3 linked regions of the Arabidopsis thaliana genome follow. The protein of the gene in region 2 purifies or fractionates together with the protein of the main gene of each other region. This does not show direct contact. Each region holds a gene or a part of one and is shown on either strand. Other genes may lie near its edges.

Region 1 (6,571 bases), 5.8 Mb from region 2:
GTTTGGAATTTGATGATCGGGTGTTTTAAAGACCCAACATATGTTTTGATGAGGGTTTTGCTGTGTAAGATCCAGTGCCCTTCTTTCATCTGTTTCTGTAAGCCTTCTCCTCATATCTACGCTTCTGGTTCTCTCAAATTGGAGAATACTTTTCCTCAAGTGTCTTCTTCGACTACGGTTGTTGATGATCGTGACCATGATGACAATGATGATGATGATGCACATGTAGAAGAAGAAGAAGTTGTTGTTGATCATGTTGATGGTTTGTTGACTGAGGTTGTTAGAGAAGAAGATTGTGCTCTAGAGGGAAAAAAGGAAGAAGAAGAAAGTCTTAGTAATGGGGAAATCTTGAAAAGCAGTCTCAAGAAGGAGGTCTTAGATTCAGCAGATGGTGGGAGAAAGGAGAAGAAGAAAGTACAGTGGGTGGATTTGATGGGGAAAGAACTTGCTGAGATCCGAGAATTCGAGTCTAGGTACTGTCTTCTATGAAGTTTGAATCTTTGTTTTTCTTAGGTTTCTTGGTATGAAGTTTGAATCTTTGATCAATTCAGGCTTCAAAAGATGCTAACTTTGAGAATTAGTTGATTGACATTTGTCTGAATCCCTGTTATATTTGCAGTGAAGAAGAAGATGTTAGATATGATGGCGATCAAAGCTGTGTTTGTGTTATTCTGTGATCAACTCGGCTTAGTTTTACCGGAAGATATGGCAATGGTGAAGGGTGAAGAAGCTTGCTTGAGAATTGGCTCTGTTCAGCTTGTGGCTTTGGATTTAGAATCCATCTACATTGAGGTACATATAGTAGAATCCACTTTTGCTCACCTGAGGTTATATGTCGATTGTCGATTCAGTGTTTACGGTTTTAGAGTTGTTAAAAGAATTGCTTTATATTACACTTGTTTACTTAACCAGTTAATGAAGTTCTTTCTTAGTCAGATTCAAGAAGCTTTTAAATTTAAAGTACACTTTTTGCATTCTATCTAAGTTCCCTCAGCTTTAGCATGTATATAAGATGGTGTTATTAAGAGCACTCAAGATTTTGAAGATCACTGACAAGTTATTCAAAATGATTTCAAATATGATATCTAGTGAACACATTATTCTCTGGTTCAAAAATCACTACACTTGCACAGAAAATTTGTTTGCAAGCTAAAGGAATCCGTATCCCAGTGAGCTACTCTCGCTTCGGAATTTTGCCTATCTCTCAGCTTTACGAGCAAACCTGGTCGGTCTATCTTAGTATCCATAACCTGAAACAAGACAATCGAGAAAGATTCAGTGATGAAGAAACATGAGTTTTGTTTTGATGTCACTGTCCAGTTTTTATGAATCAGAAGGTCTGGACTAACCTGAGTTGTCCATTGGGTTACCAGCAGGAACTGGCTCTGGCTCTGGGATCTCAACAACCACACAGTCAGACATCAAGAACGTCTTTGCAACTGAGGCGGCATGTTCTAAGCAACATCTCACAACCTGAAAACAAAAATCCACTCAGGTTCATTGGATATTTTGCGATCAGATGGGATAGCAAAACAGAGTGAGGGAGTGTATGTGAGAAACTGACCTTTGTCGGGTCGATGATGCCTGCAGCCATCAGGTCTTCATACTTGCCGGTTGCAGCATTGTATCCAAATTTCACATTATCGTTAGCCAGCACCTGCAATAAATAAATACAGCTTTTTAAGCAACTTACGTAGATCAAGAGCTGAATAAGCATGGATGTTCTTATGTTGTTATAACCTTCTCGCTGACAACACTTCCATTAACACCAGCATTCTTAGCTATCAATTTCAGAGGGTAACTCAGTGCTCTTTTAACAATTTCCGCTCCAACCTAGAGATGGGAAATAGTTGAAAATGCAGTAAGAGCAAGCAATTTGCAAAAAATTTCAAAATTCTTGATTTTGCCAATCACCTTTTCTTCATCATTTTCAAGGGTATCCTTGATGGCATCGACCTTTGATGCAAGCCGGAGCAGAGTGCAACCACCACCAACGACAATACCTTCCTCAACAGCAGCCTGAAACTCAATGAGGTCATATAATTAAGATATACATGAGTAGCACGATACCTATAACCCCATCAGCTGGATAAAGAAAATCACCTTTGTAGCATTAAGAGCATCTTCCACTCTCAGCTTCTTTTCTTTGAGCTCTGTCTCAGTTTGAGCTCCAACCTTTAACCAAGATGTAAAAACTTTAATTAGATCACTTAACTTATTCTTCTATCATACAAATCCAAGAAAGTCCATGTGATTACTATTTTACCTGAATTACAGCAACTCCACCAGAGAGCTTCGCAATTCTCTCATTTAATTTTTCCTTCTCGTAGTCTTGCTCCGCTTGCTGCACAACCGCAGTTGTATTAGCATAAACAAACTTTATACAAAAAAAAGTAGCTGTCACAGACTCTTATGCGGTTTGACTCAAACATATACCTCAATAAGATTCCTAATCTGTACAACACGCTTGTTCACTGCTTCTTGTGTGGTCCCATCACCCACAATTGTTGTCATTTCCTTTGTCAGGACAACCTTGGAAGCGTTACCCAGAACCTCTTTTCCAGCTTTGTCAAGAGAAAGACCAACTTCCTCTCTGATCACAGTTGCTGCACACAAAAACAGAAGCAACACGGTAAGGTTTTAACAGCCAAATGATTCCAAATCAGGAGGGCACATTGATTGATACCCACATATAGGTTTTTTGTTATAAAAACATGACCTACCTCCAGTTAGAATGGCAATATCGTCAAGGTATTGGCTCTTGCGCTCTCCAAATCCAGGAGCTTTGAGAGCTGCAATCTTCAGTGTGCCTCTAAGCTTGTTAACAACAAGAGTAGCTAAGGCTTCTTGTTCAATATCTTCTGCAATTATGAGGATTGGGTATCCGCCTCTAATCGCATCCTCTAGAACCCCAACAAGATCCCTTGCATTGGTTACTTTCTTGTCAACAAGAAGCAACTGCACAGTAGAAACTTGTTAGGCTATTTGCATCACAATATCATTTTGGTAGCTCAGAATAAAGAAAAATTACCTTGCAATTGTCATACTCAACAGACATTTTCTCACTGTCTGTCACAAAGTATGGGGAGATATAACCACGGTCAAATTGCATTCCTTCCACAACATAAAGGTTGTTCTCAGCGCTTTTTCCCTCCTCCAGGGTCACCACACCCTTCCTGCCCACTTTGCTCATTGCTTCAGCAATCATACTTCCAACTTCGTGGTTATTACCCGCACTAACAGCTGCCACATCAGCAAGTTCACTGTCTTCAACCTATATTTCCAATGACATAACCTTTAGACCATCTTGCTATAGACTCTCGAAAAATTAAGAAGAAGGAAGTTTTAGCATAATAGTTACTTACCTCCTTAGACATAAGTTTCAGCTCGTTAACCAAAGCCTTTGCAGTCTTCTCAATCCCCCTAGTGATCAATACAGGGTTCGCACCTGCAGCCACCACCTGAAAAATACAAAATTTCAGATTAATATACTGTTCTTCTGAGTATAAAATCAGAGAAAGCTGAAAGAAGAATGTAACAACCTTGACACCCTCAGCAATAAAACCTTGTGCAAGAACAACAGATGTTGTTGTACCGTCACCAGCCAAGTCATTGGTCTTTGCAGCTGCTTGCCTTACAAGCTTTGCACCAATGTTCTCAACCGGGTCCTCCAACTCGACCTAAGCAGAAGAAAACCTTAAGCTTAGAGAAGTAATTAAAAACGAAAGGAACATAATTGGTTAAACAGACAATAAATTTCATACCTCCCTCGCAACAGTGACACCATCATTAACAATTCTTGGGGATCCATACTTGCTCTCAAGAACAACATTTCTCCCTTTTGGTCCAAGTGTGACACCAACAAGGTCCGCGAGCTTGTTAACACCAGTCTAATAACAAACGAGTAATCAGAAACCAAAAATAAAACGAATCCTAATCATTACTCCAGAAAATCAATTCATTAATTCTCACCTGAAGTTTCCTTATGGTAGTCCCATCCTTATTGAAATGCAACTCCTTGGCTGCACATACTATGGCAGGACGGGATCTTCTGACGCACACGTTATGTCTCCTTCCAAACGAGCTTGAAGAGATGCTAGTCGCAGAAGACAACTTGATAGCATTGGGAGCAAGCAACGAACCAAGGGAAGACGTGGCAGTGAATGTCGATGCCATTTTCACTTCTCAAACACTGAAAATCAATCCAACAGTTCACATAAAACGAAAGATTCACCAAAAGTACTAACCAATTAAAACTGGCAACAAAAAACAAAAAACAGATGAATTTCAAAATCAGAGCTCAATCCCCAAATACTCAAAACCACAACTACACCAATAGCCACAAATCTCCGGGAACACGAAAACAAGGTAACATACTTTTTCTCAGCTACTAGTAATACTTGTTAATTCCAATTCTAACAAAACAATCAATCGACACACACAATTACATAGGCGCCAACATTGTGAGCTCAATTGATGGGAAAAGTGACACTCACCGGACGGTGGAACGACGGAGGTGAGGAGAGAGATGGCGCCGAAGAGGTTTATTCCGGATAAGGAGGAAGAAGTAGGTTTCTCCAATGACGAAATGAAGAATGCACTTGCTACTGATAATTTTTTCTTTGAATATAAAGGCGATATGAGCCTTTAGCTCTTGAAACTTCGAGCTAATCTTAGCCGTTGGATGTACTCTTCATTGTTTTCTCATTAGAACTCTCTAGAACGTCGGATGGGTAATCGGATCATGGGTTTATTTCCGGTGGCCTTGTTTGGTGATTTGGGCCTGTTTATGAATCTTTAATCAAATAGGCCCATTACATACTCTCGATCTTAAAATGTTTTTATTTAATAATAGCTTTTTTAAGCTAAGGTAATTTACTTCCTTTTATCCTAAAGGTAAAGTATATTTTCTTGAATAGCTAGTTTTGGTAAGTTTCTCTGAAAAATAGATTTTACTTTCTTTGGTTTTATCTTAATGATTTGCTTTTAGTTTTTAAATAGTTGCTCAAAACAAAAAAGTTTAATATATATTTTTAAAGATATTTCAATGTATATTGGGGTAAATTTATAGAAGAAACACACCTATAATAGAAAGCATGCCCTCTTTTGCTTTTAAATTTGACCAAATTTACTTTTGAATTATATTTTGGTAACAGAATTGAGATTTATATCTATTTTATTACAAGATTACCAATTTTAAGAAAATGGAAAAGTATATTATCCAGATTTTGCAGGAAAAATAACCAAAACCACACGGTCTATAGTCTTCTTTTAAAACAAAAGAGGAAATATCTTAAGGTGGAAGAAAAAAAAAAAAAAAGAAAGAAAAAAAAAAGAGAGAAGGTGAGGTGGTTGATTAGTGGATCTATTTGAATCAGAGGGAGAGGTAGAGAGACAAAACCCTTTTTTTCCTCTTCCCCGAAGCAAAACCCTTCTCCTTCTTGGCGGCTGCGGCCATTTTTTTCTTCTTTCTCTCTTCTATTCTATCTCTTAAACCCTAGATTTGATCTGGGTTTTTCCTGATTCCATTTAGGGTTTCTCTATCTTCTTTTTTTTCTTCTTCTTCTTCTTTCTCTTTGGTCGCATCCCCTTTTATCCGAGAAGGATCTATCCAAATCTTTGTTTGTCGAATCTCCTCTCATGGCTACCGTTGCTCCTCCTGCTGATCGTATCCTTTCTTTATGTTTCTCGATCTGTGTTTTGATTTCTCGATCTTGAATCTGTTGGATCTTGAATCCAGTGAGCTGATTTTGAGTCTTGTTCAGATATATTTGATATTGCCTAGATTCAGTTTCGGGTTTCTCAATATATTTCTCGATTGTTAGGTTTCTATATTGATTCAAATCGATTCATTTGTGGCGAGTTTGATTGATTTGAGAATGTTTGCTTTCCACTATTCTAATGGTTAATTGTGTAATTCTTTGCTTCCTTGACTCACCTTGTTTGTAGAAGCTACAGATCTGTTGCAGAAACTATCCTTGGACTCGCCAGCAAAAGCTTCAGAGATCCCTGAGCCTAACAAGAAGGTGATTTGCAGATTGAATTTTGGTTTTCTGTTGTCACAACTTTTGCTTCTTCCAGTTTTTTTTAACGCTTTTGTTTTGTGTCTTGTGTAGACTGCCGTCTACCAGTATGGAGGCGTTGATGTTCATGGTCAAGTTCCTTCTTATGATCGATCTTTGACACCAATGCTTCCCAGTGATGCTGCTGACCCTTCAGTTTGCTATGTTCCTAATCCTTACAATCCCTACCAGTATTACAATGGTAGCTTCATCCTCAAATCATTTACAATCTAGAAACATTATTTCACTAAATTGTCACCACTGGTTTAACAAGTTTTTCGTTTTGTAACTTTTCAGTATATGGGAGTGGTCAAGAGTGGACTGACTACCCAGCTTACACAAATCCTGAGGGTGTTGACATGAATTCTGTAAGTGTGTGCTGACTAGTTATAATAGTGCCTTTCATCGTCTTTATATTTTCTTTGCTTAACAGGTTCAATATTTTACCAGGGAATTTATGGAGAGAATGGGACTGTTGTGTATCCTCAGGGTTATGGGTATGCAGCGTA
Region 2 (6,084 bases):
GTTGAGATGGTGTGATGGGCTAAACCGGTTTAATATATTTCCTACTTTTTTTGTTTTCCTGATTAGTCCGGTTAAGCCGTGTAGTAGTTGGTCTTACATGGACGGTTAACAAATGAAAATCGGTTCTGATTTGGTAAGACTTTGTCCTTCGTCCCATGAAGATTTCTCTAACAAAAAATCATTGACCACATCATGACATGAATCCAAAGAAAACACATAGTTTGCTAATGTGTCTGTTAGACGATTAATCTCTTTAGATAGTGTGTATCAATTTCATTATTTTTGTTTTAATCGTCTGTCATTGTATCAGTTTCGGTTAGAAACTAAGATAGGGAAAATATTTCTCGTCCTATAAGATGTTTTACCTAAGCACAAAAAATCATTAAAACGGTATTCAAGACTTTTAAATAAATCAAACAAAAACAAATTTTGATTTCAAAGTAAAACGAAAAAAAAAATCGTAACATGAAAAAAAAAGATATTTTTATTTTATTTTATTTGGAAATAAAATCTGAATAATTATTTTATGACAGTCAATAAAAAGCTATGAAATATTTCTAGAGCTTTACTAATGGGGGAAGTTTGAACTAGCTGCTTGATATTAATATAATAATTTGATTATCAACAAAAAAGTTATATTTAAGAATTAAGATTGATATATGTTAAACTTTTGGTAATTTTGTTCTAAAACCAATATTCTTTGGTTGACTTGACTATTTTATTAATATATTAGTATAAATTGAGAATGTGAATCTCCTTTCCAAACTATTCTTATAGGTTTTCTATATATATAATTTCCTACATAGCATCTAACAGATCCCCGAAAAAAGATCTCAACTACATACAATACCAACCCACAACAAAAATTTGCTTTTTCGATCTTCTCAAAAATGAAACTAAAACAAACCAAAGTGATGTTTTTCTTGTTAGTCCTAATCTCTGCATTAATATTGCAACAATCGAAAGCTCAGAAAAATTATTGTTCGAGAACCAACATAGACTATATACCGGGATGTTTCCATGCGTTGCAATTAGCGTATAACAAAGATTATAGTCTCCTAACAAGAAATTGTTGCAGAGCAGTGTTTTCACTTCCTACTACTTGTGCCTTGCTTGTCTATCCTGGCAAAACTTACCCTATTACTACCTTTAGATTAATTTGTATTTATAGCGATCCTCTTCCAGCAATGTCTCCATTAAGTCTATAAGTTTTGTTTATCTCTTAATAATAATATAATAATAAAAATCATATTTACATTATAATTTTTTAACTTTGTTCAAGTTACACATAAAATCCCTAACTCTCTATACGTGTTGAATGTTTGAGGTCTCATATTTATCTTACTCTTTCGGTTTTCAAAAGGATATCAACATAAATGTAAATATGTAATCATTCCTCATTTGTTGGAAATTAATTTATAAATTTTGATTTCAAAAATCAACTAATCCATTTGTAAACTATGTAAAATATTTATCAATTATATTATTATTTTTGCCACCTTAGAAATATATGTTAACATTTGTGTAGTTAAAAGAAATCCCCAAATTAAATCATGTTTTGACTCACACTTATAATATTATCGGATTTCATAAATAAATGGATAAACCATGTAAAAGATGAAATAACATACGATAAAAAATGATCTTAGTCAAAACATATGAAAGCCGATAATAATAATGACATTTATTGGAAATTCAAGTCTAAAAATAAATAATAATAATAATAACAACATACGAGATGAGATCGAGATAATATAGTATATAATAAATTAAATATAAATTACTAATAATAATGACATTTCTTACAAATTCAATAAGTGTTTGTTTTTACTCATGAGTGTTTTTAACCCATTTATACTCTTATATTTTCATAAATAACCTACTTGTTATCACCATATTACACCAGTTAATATATTTGTAAAATTTTGAAAAAGATTGTATATATCAATCTCTATACATGACTCATAAGGTTAACATTTAACATCGTTTAATTGTTTTGGAAGGTAGATTTAAATCCACCAACAATTCAAGGATGTGAAGAATTTTTAGATCAAATATATATTTAAATGTACAAGTGTTTTTTTCTAACAAAAAAAATTTGAGGTATTGAACGGATGGGTAATTTTCGGGTGTTTTTGCCGTGTTATTGTAGCCGTCGATTAGTTGGGATGTATACTTATTGGGCCTAAGAAGCTTAATACCTTAATTGTACAATCGGATGGATATATAAATGGGCTCAACAACAAGGAAAAAGGCCCATTTAAACCTAAGAGTTCAAGCTCTATTTGTAGAAAGACCAAAGTATCCCTAGATGTTTAAGTATGTCCTCTGTGTCTCTAAAGGTTAATTGGGGAAGAAGAAAACTCTCCTTCTTTTTGTAACTTTTGCTTCACCTCTCTCTTCTTCTCTTGTTCTATTTTTTTTCCCGATTCAAGCAAAATTCATCAAGGTAAATTTACTCTTCTTCTCAAGCTGAGTTTTTTTGAATTGTTGGTATCTTCCTTCATCACTCTCGCACTTCTCTTCTTGAAGTCTCTCTTGCTCGATTCGATTCTACGGTTTCTCTCGATCCGAGGGTTTTTGATTGAACTTTTATTGGTCTCTTTGATATTGAAGAAATTATTCAACCCTAATCTCAAATTGCTTCAGAAGATTTCGGGAAACTAGTTTATTCTTATGGGTAATCGTTTTGATGCTAAAGTACTTAACTTTTTGTGATTGTAGACTTGTCAATTTGAAAAAATGTCGCAATCAACCGTAGATGTTCCGCCAAAGGGTGGGTTTAGCTTCGATCTGTGTAAGAGAAATGATATGCTTACACAAAAGGGTCTTAAAGCTCCGTCTTTTTTGAAGACTGGAACAACCATTGTTGGTTTGATTTTCAAGGTATGGTTTTTTATTCTCTCACATTAGTTTCTTGTCCATAGATTGCATAGAGTAATAGTTTCATGGGAACTGTTTTTGTTCTTAGTCAGCTGAGAACTAAGTTTTGTATTGTGGAAGTTAAAATTAGATCTTTTTAGAATTGGTTAGTCAAGAAGTTGAGGCCTAAGACTGAGTCGCAGGCACATTGATTAGATTGCTCTACTATAATGTGATTGTTTACTTGTGTCTGTTAAACTCTTTAGGGTCGTTATTGACGAGCACTTTCAGTTTCGCATGATAGATCCTTGTATGAGTTTCATCTAAAGTAGGTTTTGCTTAGTGATAATGTGGTGGTTCTTATCGTTAGCTCTTGTCTCTCCGTATAGTTTAGAACATAGTATCTAGACGTGTAAGATGTTTGAGTTCTTGTGTTCTAATTGTTGTCTTTTGATTGCTTTTTTTAGTAAATTATTGTGGAAGCTGTGTAATATTGATTTTGATATTCGGGCTTTGTATAGGATGGTGTGATACTAGGGGCAGATACCCGAGCAACTGAGGGGCCAATTGTTGCTGATAAGAACTGTGAGAAGATTCACTATATGGCACCAAACATATATTGCTGTGGTGCAGGAACTGCGGCTGATACTGAAGCAGTCACTGGTATATATACTTTCTACCTTCAGTGGGGCAGATTTTGTTTTCTCTGTCAAAGAAATCAGAATCTAACTGGCATAATGCATCACTTCATAGAAATTGATGCTTAGTTATCTTGGTTTCTTTCTTATTGTCCAGATATGGTCAGCTCACAGCTGCGATTGCATCGTTACCAGACTGGTCGAGACTCTCGGGTCATTACTGCTTTGACCCTTCTCAAAAAACATCTTTTCAGGTAAATTTGTTCTTTCTCCTCCAGAAACTCGTCTTAAAGAAACATAGATGATTTAACTGCCTAAGATTCATTTCAGCTACCAAGGTCATGTCTCTGCTGCTCTTGTACTCGGTGGAGTTGATATCACTGGTCCACATCTGCATACTGTAAGTTATACATCCCCGACAGTATACTGAGAAGAGATTTTTTTGTTTGTTTGTTGTTATTCATATCATATTTGACCTGTTTATTTTATAAACAGATATACCCACACGGTTCAACTGACACTCTTCCATTCGCCACAATGGGTTCGGGTTCTCTTGCTGCTATGTCTGTGTTTGAGGCAAAGTATAAAGAAGGCCTAACTGTAAGTAAGCCATTCACGTTTCAATATCCAGAGACGTTATTTTCATCTGTCTGATTATTCTTGTTTACAAAATCCTCTAGAGGGATGAAGGAATTAAGCTGGTCGCTGAATCCATATGCTCGGGTATATTCAATGACCTGGGTAGTGGTAGCAACGTGGACATCTGCGTGATCACAAAGGTTTGTCTTCACCCTACTTTAACCTGTACCTTTGATTAATCCACAAATCTACCTTTGGTCAGCATGTTAGACTCATAGTTTATCATCTCATAGACATAACAGTGACCAAGTAAATCGCCATCAAACCTCACAAAACCCAACTCTTAGCATTGCCATTAAATAAAAGTAAAACAACCTCTCCATTTGGTTTAATGCAATCCTAGACCTCAGTTCTGCATGTACATATTAAGCTGACCCAAGTTATTCACCACCAGATCAAACTCTTTTGCATTACATGTGTATGTTTTGTTGCTTTTGAGCTTATTATTGGACACAATATTGGCAAACAGGGGAACAAGGAATATCTCAGGAACTACATGGAACCAAACCCAAGAACCTATGTCAGCAGCAAAGGCTATTCCTTCACCAAGAAAACTGGTAAGTTACTCTCAAACACACAACAAAGAAACTTGCATCGCCGCCCTCGCCTTTAGCTAGTCGAAATCCTCAGTTTTTCTCACTTCATTTTTGTTGATTTATTGTGTAACAGAGGTTCTTCTCACCAAAATCACCCCATTGCTGGAGCGAGTCGAAATCACAGAAGTTGGTGAAGCTATGGAGGAATAATTCAATCAATCTCATATATCTTCTTTTGCATTGATCTACATCAAGGCTCTGTGTACTCTCATGATCTCATCTTCCCAGTCTTGTCTTCTTCCCATGTTTAAGGATCATTCAAATCTTGTTACTCCTCTCTCTCCTTCTTAGATTTCAATAGAGAGGGTCAGACTCGAGAGACTTCGTCCTTTCGAAATAAAAAAACAACTTTCCCTAAATTATTATTGGTTTGTGCAAACCGAATTGAATTGTACAAGCTGTTTAACCAAATCTCCTAATACGACGTCGCTTTTTGTCTCAGGATGACGTGTTTTTGTTGCCGCTAATTTCTCTACACGCGAGTATATACATATATAGGAAATAGAGATACGAATTTATCATATAAGACGTTACTATAGAGCGACACTTATCTTTTATTTTTATTTTTCTTCAGATTTGTTTTTTTGTTTCTTCTTCTTTGATTTATCTGAGTAAAAGCTTTTTAAAAACTAACATAGGATTGAAGAAGACGATGGAGAAATTATCTAATGGCGTTAGAGATCACTGTTTGATCAGTGACTATGTTTCTCCTTCAGCTCCTGCTCCTCTTAAACAACCTTTCGTGATCGGTACGTTTTTCATTGATTTCTCAAATGATTCAAAATCTGATTTTCTCTGATTCCGTCAACGATCTGCTTATATCAGGTGTTGCCGGAGGAACCGCCTCCGGGAAGACGACGGTTTGCAATATGATCATGTCTCAGTTACATGATCAACGTGTTGTCCTTGTTAACCAAGTAATTATTAAACTCATAATCTGTTTTTTCATCAAAATCGTTGTGAGATATGTACGTAAGACGACTCAATAATTGCAGGATTCGTTTTACCACTCGCTTACTAAGGAGAAATTGAACAAGGTTCATGAATATAACTTCGATCATCCTGGTGAGGAAAATCAATTATGATGATTTGATCTAAGGAACGATTCAAATTTTGTTCTTAAGAATCTTTGTTTTGTTTTTGATACAAGATGCATTCAACACTGAGGTTTTACTTTCATGTATGGAGAAGTTACGATCTGGACAACCAGTGAACATTCCGAGTTACGATTTCAAAATCCATCAGAGCATTGAATCATCAAGTCCGGTACTATTAGTTTTTGCTTGCAGAGACTCAGAAAACACCATTAGTTATTGATTAGCAACACTAATTACAATGTCCTACTTCAG
Region 3 (6,562 bases), on a different chromosome or scaffold from region 2:
TGGTCTCTATAGTGGCTGCAGCCACTAGAGCCGGCCAAAAAATGCGGGTCGTGACTAGGTACTCTCACAGCTTCCCCAAGCTGGTTTGTACTGATGGTAAAGACGGGACTCTCATAAGCACCAAGTTTCTAAACCATGTGGTGACCACCAACCCGGAGGCCAAGACTTTGACGGTTGAGAGCGGCGTGACTCTAAGGCAACTGATCGAAGAAGCAGCTAAGTTTGATCTGGCTTTGCCATACGCACCGTATTGGTGGGGACTTACGGTTGGAGGAATGATGGGGACAGGTGCTCACGGAAGTTCTTTATGGGGTAAAGGAAGTGCGGTTCATGATTACGTGACCGAGATAAGATTGGTGAGTCCCGGTTTGGCTTCTGATGGGTATGTAAAGGTTCAGGTTCTTAGCGAGACTATAGATCCGGAGGAATTTCGCGCAGCCAAAGTTTCTCTAGGTGTTCTTGGTGTTATCTCTCAAGTAACTTTCGAATTGCAACCAATGTTCAAAAGATCGTTAAATTATGTTATGAGAAACGATTCGGATTTCGGAGATCAAGCAGTGAGTTTTGGCGAAAGACACGAGTTTGCGGATTTCTTATGGTTACCGAGCCAAGGAAAAGTGGTGTATCGCATGGATGGCCGAGTTCCGCTTAATACTTCGGGAGATGGCTTGTTCGAATTTTTCCCATTCCGTTCACAACTCTCTTTAGTGTTAGCCATAGATAGATCCTTAGGTAAATCTTTATTTCTCAAGATAATTAATACCAATATTTTTGATTTGCATAGCTATAATGTTTCTTATATATATACTTTTGCTTCATGTCATGCAGAGGAGAGTGAAGAGTCACTTGAAGATGCAAACATGAAGTGTGTGAGGGCAAAGCTAGTATCGTCGTCTATGTTTTTAATGTCATACGGTGTGACTAATAACGGTATTTCTTTTACTTGCTTATACATTTGTTGATTGTTTCGATATAAGATTATACAAAACTTTCACTAGTAATTTCCATGGACAGGCCTAATATTCACAGGCTATCCGGTCATCGGAATGCAAAACCATATGATGTCGTCAGGTTCATGTCTAGACAGTCGTCAAGACGGACTAATCACGGCTTGTCCATGGGATCCACGGATAAAAGGCCAATTCTTTCACCAAACAACATTCAGTGTTTCTCTCACAAATGTCAAAAGTTTCATCAACGACATCAAAGCACTTGTGAAGATCGAACCGAAATCTTTATGCGTACTTGAAGGCAGCAACGGTATTCTCATCCGCTATGTCACATCCTCTCTAGCATTTCTCGGAAAAGAAGAAAAAGCTTTAGATTTTGACCTAACTTACTACAGAAGCAAAAATGATCCATTGGCACCGCGTCTATACGAGGATTACATTGAAGAAATCGAGCAAATGGCGATATTCAAATACAATGCGTTACCACATTGGGGGAAGAATAGGAACCTAGCGTTTGATGGTGCCATTAGAAAATACAAGAACGCAAACGCGTTTTTAAAAGTAAAAGAGAAATTTGATTCTTTAGGATTGTTTTCCACTGAATGGACTGATCAGATTCTAGGTTTAAAAGGAAACGTGACGATTGTGAAACAAGGATGTGCATTGGAGGGACTATGTATTTGTTCAGAGGATTCTCATTGTGCTCCTACCAAAGGTTATTTATGTAGACCAGGTAAAGTTTATAGAGAAGCTAGAGTTTGTACTCGTGTAAGTTCCTAAATCCTAATCAAAGTTTTGGTCCTCAGTTCTGTTATATATCAAAAACCTCATTCCTCTCTCTGCTTTAAGAGAACAGAGCAGTCTCTGTTCATAATTGACAAGCGAAAACGACGTTGTATTGAATTCGTGACACGTGTCAAACAATGAGTAGTTAATCAAAGTGTCACTCGCACGTGAAGAGAGTAGAGTAGGTGGGTTTAGGGTTTAAGTGTTCCAGATTCTTCCAAATTCAGTTGATCCAACGGCTCAGACTTAACCTGAAACCTTTGAAGACGCGATCCTCGAACTTCACCAGTCCGTTTGCACTATGCAACCAAACACACTTTGTATCGAATAAATTAAACAAAAATCATAACTTTACAATCGCATAAATCGACTTTCATCTTCTTCACAAGAAAACCTCTCTCAGTCGCTAAAACCCTTGAACCATCTCTTGATCGCTAGCTTCTAAGTAAGTGTATAGTTGAATCATTTCGATCAAAGTTTAGGTAAAAAGTTGTTTGCTTTCAGATACCCTTGTTTTGATTTGTGTCGATGATTACAAAGTTTTACTTTGATTTGTGTCTTTAGGGTTTATTAGATTCATTCAAGCTATAAAGTTTTGATTTTGATCTGTTTTTGCAGAGAGTGAAAAACCATGGCATCAACCTTTAGCGCAACGTCGTCAATGGGTTCATCTTTGGCTCCTCCTTCGAATCGATTGTCATCTTTTGTTTCGATCTCATCAAGCTCTTTTGGAAGGACTCAGAGTATTGCTCAGAGGAAAGCAAGGTTTCCTAAAATATATGCGGCTAAGCAATTGCATTTCAATAAGGACGGGACTGCGATTAAGAAGCTTCAAGTGAGTCTATTCTATTTCGGTGATTTTGTGACTTCTAGTTCTTTATTGAATAACTTATATCATTTCATTATGTAGGCTGGTGTGAATAAACTTGCGGATTTAGTTGGGGTTACTTTAGGTCCTAAAGGCAGGAATGTTGTTCTAGAGAGCAAATACGGTTCCCCTAGAATCGTTAATGATGGTGTTACGGTCGCTAGAGAGGTAACGGTGTTATCTCTTGTTGTGTCTAATGTGTAATCAGGTGTGAAATCGATTTGTAGATTTTGAAAAGCTTTTGCTGTTTGTTTAGGTTGAGCTTGAGGATCCAGTTGAGAACATTGGTGCTAAGCTAGTGAGACAAGCTGCTTCCAAGACTAATGACTTAGCTGGTGATGGAACAACGACTTCTGTTGTTCTTGCTCAAGGTCTTATTGCTGAAGGTGTAAAGGTTTGTAATTTATTGTCTTTCTTTTGTGAATTTGAAACAACCAGTGTTTTTTGTTGTTGTTGTGATATGATGTGGATTGAATTGTGTAGGTGGTAGCTGCTGGTGCAAATCCTGTTTTGATTACCAGAGGTATTGAGAAAACCACCAAAGCTCTTGTGGCTGAGTTGAAGAAAATGTCAAAGGAGGTATTGTTGACTTAATTAGATTCTTAATCTAGCTCTTTTCATGTGCTTTAGAGGATTCTTGATCATGTAGCTCTTTTCTGGATTGCAGGTTGAAGACAGTGAACTAGCAGATGTTGCAGCAGTTAGTGCAGGAAACAATTACGAAGTAGGCAATATGATTGCAGAAGCAATGGCAAAAGTTGGTCGTAAAGGTGTTGTCACTCTAGAGGAAGGCAAAAGCGCTGAGAACAGCCTTTACGTTGTTGAAGGAATGCAATTTGATCGTGGTTATATCTCTCCTTACTTTGTCACCGACAGTGAGAAAATGTGTGCAGAATATGAGAACTGCAAGGTATTATTATTGTTTATACAGTTAAATCTTAATAGCTGATAAAAAACCGCAGTATTTTTTGACTATATGTCTCTTCTTGCTTTTGTAGTTGTTTCTTGTTGACAAAAAGATAACAAATGCTAGAGATATTATTAGCATTCTGGAAGATGCGATTAAAGGTGGATACCCGCTTTTGATCATTGCTGAAGATATTGAGCAAGAGCCATTAGCGACTCTTGTTGTTAACAAGCTTCGTGGGACAATAAAAGTTGCTGCTTTGAAAGCTCCTGGATTTGGAGAGAGGAAAAGCCAGTACCTTGATGACATTGCTGCGCTTACAGGAGGTTAGACCAATATACTAAGTGTTCTTTACATTATTGCTTCTATATTAAAAAAAAGCATGTTTAGTTTCTCAAGTTGCTGTGTTTGTTTTTCTCTTTGTAGCTACTGTGATTAGGGAAGAAGTTGGACTTCAGTTGGAGAAAGTTGGACCAGAAGTTTTGGGTAATGCTGGTAAAGTGGTTCTCACAAAAGATACTACAACGATAGTTGGTGATGGAAGTACTGAAGAAGTTGTGAAGAAGAGAGTTGAACAGATCAAGAATCTTATCGAGGTACATCTCAAAAAACATTGAAATGTCCCAATAAATTGGTTTTATGTTACGGTGATTAAGTCTTTGGGTTTGTGTAGGCTGCTGAACAAGACTATGAAAAGGAAAAGCTTAATGAGAGAATTGCTAAATTATCAGGCGGTGTTGCTGTAATTCAGGTGAGATACTAAGAAACAAATCACATGATGCAAAAAGCGTAGCTTAAGGTAATAAGAAGAATAATCTAAACGTTTTATATTCTTTAGGTTGGAGCACAAACTGAGACAGAGCTTAAGGAGAAGAAATTAAGAGTTGAAGATGCTCTTAATGCTACAAAGGTAACATCATCTCTAAGCAAAGAGCCTTGAAATGTTTCCATCCATATGGTAGAGACTAAGTTGTTGGACCTTTTAATTAGGCTGCTGTGGAAGAAGGTATTGTTGTTGGCGGAGGATGTACTCTGCTAAGACTTGCATCGAAAGTGGACGCTATTAAAGAGACTCTAGCAAACGATGAAGAAAAGGTTAGTCCAGAAGAGTTGCACAGCAGAGAAAGATAACATGAATGAGGAGTTTGCCGTCTGCGGGTTATAACGCCATTTTACAATTCATCTTAACCTCCAGGTTGGAGCTGACATTGTTAAGAAAGCATTGAGCTACCCACTGAAGTTAATCGCCAAGAACGCTGGTGTCAATGGCAGCGTTGTCAGTGAGAAGGTAATCAATCTCCTTAAAAGAATGCAAGTTTGAGTCTTTTGATATAGAAACTAAGTCAATGGCTTTTTTCGGTTGACAGGTTCTTTCTAGTGACAACCCTAAACATGGTTACAATGCTGCAACTGGCAAATACGAAGATCTCATGGCTGCAGGAATCATTGATCCAACCAAAGTGAGCAAAGTTCCTTACTTTTTCACATATTGAAATCTGCTGTTTCGGGTGCTAACCGAGTTTTCTTCTTTTCAAGGTTGTGAGATGTTGCCTAGAGCATGCTTCATCTGTGGCAAAGACATTCTTGATGTCTGATTGTGTTGTTGTGGAGATCAAGGAGCCTGAATCAGCAGCTCCTGCTGGTAACCCTATGGACAATTCAGGTATCTCTTAGTTCTTCTTCTTGAATCCTCTGAATCATTAACAAAATCTGCAACTTTATTCTTACAAAATTTCTCTGTCGGTTTTCAGGTTACGGCTTCTAAGTTGGCAATTGAGAACAGAGTAGTCCCTGATGAAGCAAAAGCCACGACCAAGTTCTTCACTTCCTGATCTGAAACTTCTTTAAGCCAATGTAAATTATATGTTTTTCCAGTGACCTGAAGAAACATATAATTTGGTTCTGTGTTCTCCGATTCAAGATCAAGTTTTTCAATATGACAACTTCACTAAAGAGACACAGTTTGCAGTGCTCAATAGACTTGATTTAGTTAGTATCATTTTCTTTATTTCAAATTAAAACGAACGAGGATATGCACAAAATCATGAGCAGCAACAAGCCAACAACCAAGCACAATACTAAATTACTACTTTGTTTGTGGTTTTTTGTGGCCTCCATAGCCAATATCTTGATACTTTAAAATTGTAATCTATTTAATTAGTTCAACAATTCTCTTTACCTGAGCATAGACTATGACATAATGTGGAGTATATTGTCTATTACTTTAAAACTTTAAAATGTTCCCCAAACATTAATTAAAAAGACTACCAAGTAAACATCTGTAAAGCTGAGAAGTTTTTTTCATTTTGTATGATCTATACTAAATTTAACAGAACTATTATTGATGATATGTTTTTATATATATGAAATTTGGAGAATTTGTAAAAATCAACCATTTCTAGTGCTTATACTAACAATCCACATCATAATCTTTATTTCTTGTTCGTTCATCGATCTTTTTTTTTTATAAAACCACATTAGTTGAGTTTCAGAGTTGTCAGCAAACTGAAGAAAGATAGTAAAGTAAGTGATCTTCCTAGTAATTTCTTTACAACTTTTTGGTTTATTCTTCAATATATACAAAGTAATAATCGAGGAGAGAAATTTTCTAAGAGCATTTTCAAAGTCAATCTTACTTTAAAAGCTTCGAGTGGGTTCCACTATAACTCTGAGTCTCTGACACACACTCTTTCGTAACCTTTTGTTGTTTTTTCGGGTTTGTTCATAACTTTTTTTTTGTAAACCAAATTTAGAGTTTTAAAGTTGATGATGAACCTACGCAAACGCAAGAGATAGCTACTTAGTTGTCTTCCTTGAAATTTCCTTACTAACTTTTGTTTTCTTGTTCAACCTACCAAAAAGATTTGATGGGAAAAAAAATTATACACTTTTAAGAGCATTTTCAAAGTTAATCATACTTTAAAAACTGCAAGTAAAGTTATACTAGTTTTGCAAAGACATGAAACGATTCTAGCCACATATTTTCTTCTATTTAAACGAATTTAATCGTTAGTGTGAATTATAGGACATATCTATTGCAGATCCTAGAGC

Evidence for each region. Proteins that work in one complex are often made in the same cells at the same time.
Region 1: the proteins of PBB1 (region 2) and Cpn60beta2 fractionate together in Arabidopsis thaliana (co-fractionation; one large-scale study listed by BioGRID). This does not show direct contact.
Region 3: the proteins of PBB1 (region 2) and Cpn60beta3 fractionate together in Arabidopsis thaliana (co-fractionation; one large-scale study listed by BioGRID). This does not show direct contact.

Annotation. Positions count from the first base shown.
Region 1 is NC_003074.8:4,387,290-4,393,860, reverse strand, and holds Cpn60beta2 (TCP-1/cpn60 chaperonin family protein), read right to left. Parts: upstream 4,647-6,571; 5' UTR 4,497-4,646; intron 4,193-4,496; 5' UTR 4,177-4,192; coding exon 3,973-4,176; intron 3,891-3,972; coding exon 3,765-3,890; intron 3,681-3,764; coding exon 3,543-3,680; intron 3,462-3,542; coding exon 3,366-3,461; intron 3,275-3,365; coding exon 3,032-3,274; intron 2,959-3,031; coding exon 2,724-2,958; intron 2,607-2,723; coding exon 2,437-2,606; intron 2,345-2,436; coding exon 2,267-2,344; intron 2,176-2,266; coding exon 2,104-2,175; intron 2,020-2,103; coding exon 1,915-2,019; intron 1,834-1,914; coding exon 1,741-1,833; intron 1,658-1,740; coding exon 1,565-1,657; intron 1,474-1,564; coding exon 1,350-1,473; intron 1,251-1,349; coding exon 1,237-1,250; 3' UTR 846-1,236; downstream 1-845. Other genes in the region: AT3G13480 (nuclear polyadenylated RNA-binding protein), read left to right, coding at 13-473, 620-677; ECT2 (evolutionarily conserved C-terminal region 2), read left to right, coding at 5,641-5,668, 5,950-6,026, 6,117-6,264, 6,360-6,430, 6,513-6,571.
Region 2 is NC_003074.8:10,150,168-10,156,251, forward strand, and holds PBB1 (N-terminal nucleophile aminohydrolases (Ntn hydrolases) superfamily protein), read left to right. Parts: upstream 1-2,290; 5' UTR 2,291-2,449; intron 2,450-2,724; 5' UTR 2,725-2,742; coding exon 2,743-2,886; intron 2,887-3,383; coding exon 3,384-3,525; intron 3,526-3,657; coding exon 3,658-3,754; intron 3,755-3,830; coding exon 3,831-3,900; intron 3,901-3,995; coding exon 3,996-4,100; intron 4,101-4,180; coding exon 4,181-4,279; intron 4,280-4,608; coding exon 4,609-4,696; intron 4,697-4,808; coding exon 4,809-4,885; 3' UTR 4,886-5,280; downstream 5,281-6,084. Other genes in the region: AT3G27425 (ECA1-like gametogenesis related family protein), read left to right, coding at 891-1,208; UKL5 (uridine kinase-like 5), read left to right, coding at 5,388-5,484, 5,561-5,652, 5,731-5,800, 5,886-6,001. UniProt on the Arabidopsis thaliana protein: The proteasome is a multicatalytic proteinase complex which is characterized by its ability to cleave peptides with Arg, Phe, Tyr, Leu, and Glu adjacent to the leaving group at neutral or slightly basic pH.
Region 3 is NC_003076.8:22,871,691-22,878,252, forward strand, and holds Cpn60beta3 (TCP-1/cpn60 chaperonin family protein), read left to right. Parts: upstream 1-1,977; 5' UTR 1,978-2,181; exon of another isoform or gene 2,182-2,218; intron 2,219-2,354; 5' UTR 2,355-2,367; coding exon 2,368-2,571; intron 2,572-2,646; coding exon 2,647-2,772; intron 2,773-2,860; coding exon 2,861-2,998; intron 2,999-3,087; coding exon 3,088-3,183; intron 3,184-3,271; coding exon 3,272-3,514; intron 3,515-3,602; coding exon 3,603-3,837; intron 3,838-3,937; coding exon 3,938-4,107; intron 4,108-4,184; coding exon 4,185-4,262; intron 4,263-4,349; coding exon 4,350-4,421; intron 4,422-4,501; coding exon 4,502-4,606; intron 4,607-4,706; coding exon 4,707-4,799; intron 4,800-4,878; coding exon 4,879-4,971; intron 4,972-5,047; coding exon 5,048-5,174; intron 5,175-5,262; coding exon 5,263-5,276; 3' UTR 5,277-5,717; downstream 5,718-6,562. Other genes in the region: GulLO4 (D-arabinono-1,4-lactone oxidase family protein), read left to right, coding at 1-732, 829-930, 1,015-1,730. UniProt on the Arabidopsis thaliana protein: Involved in protein assisted folding.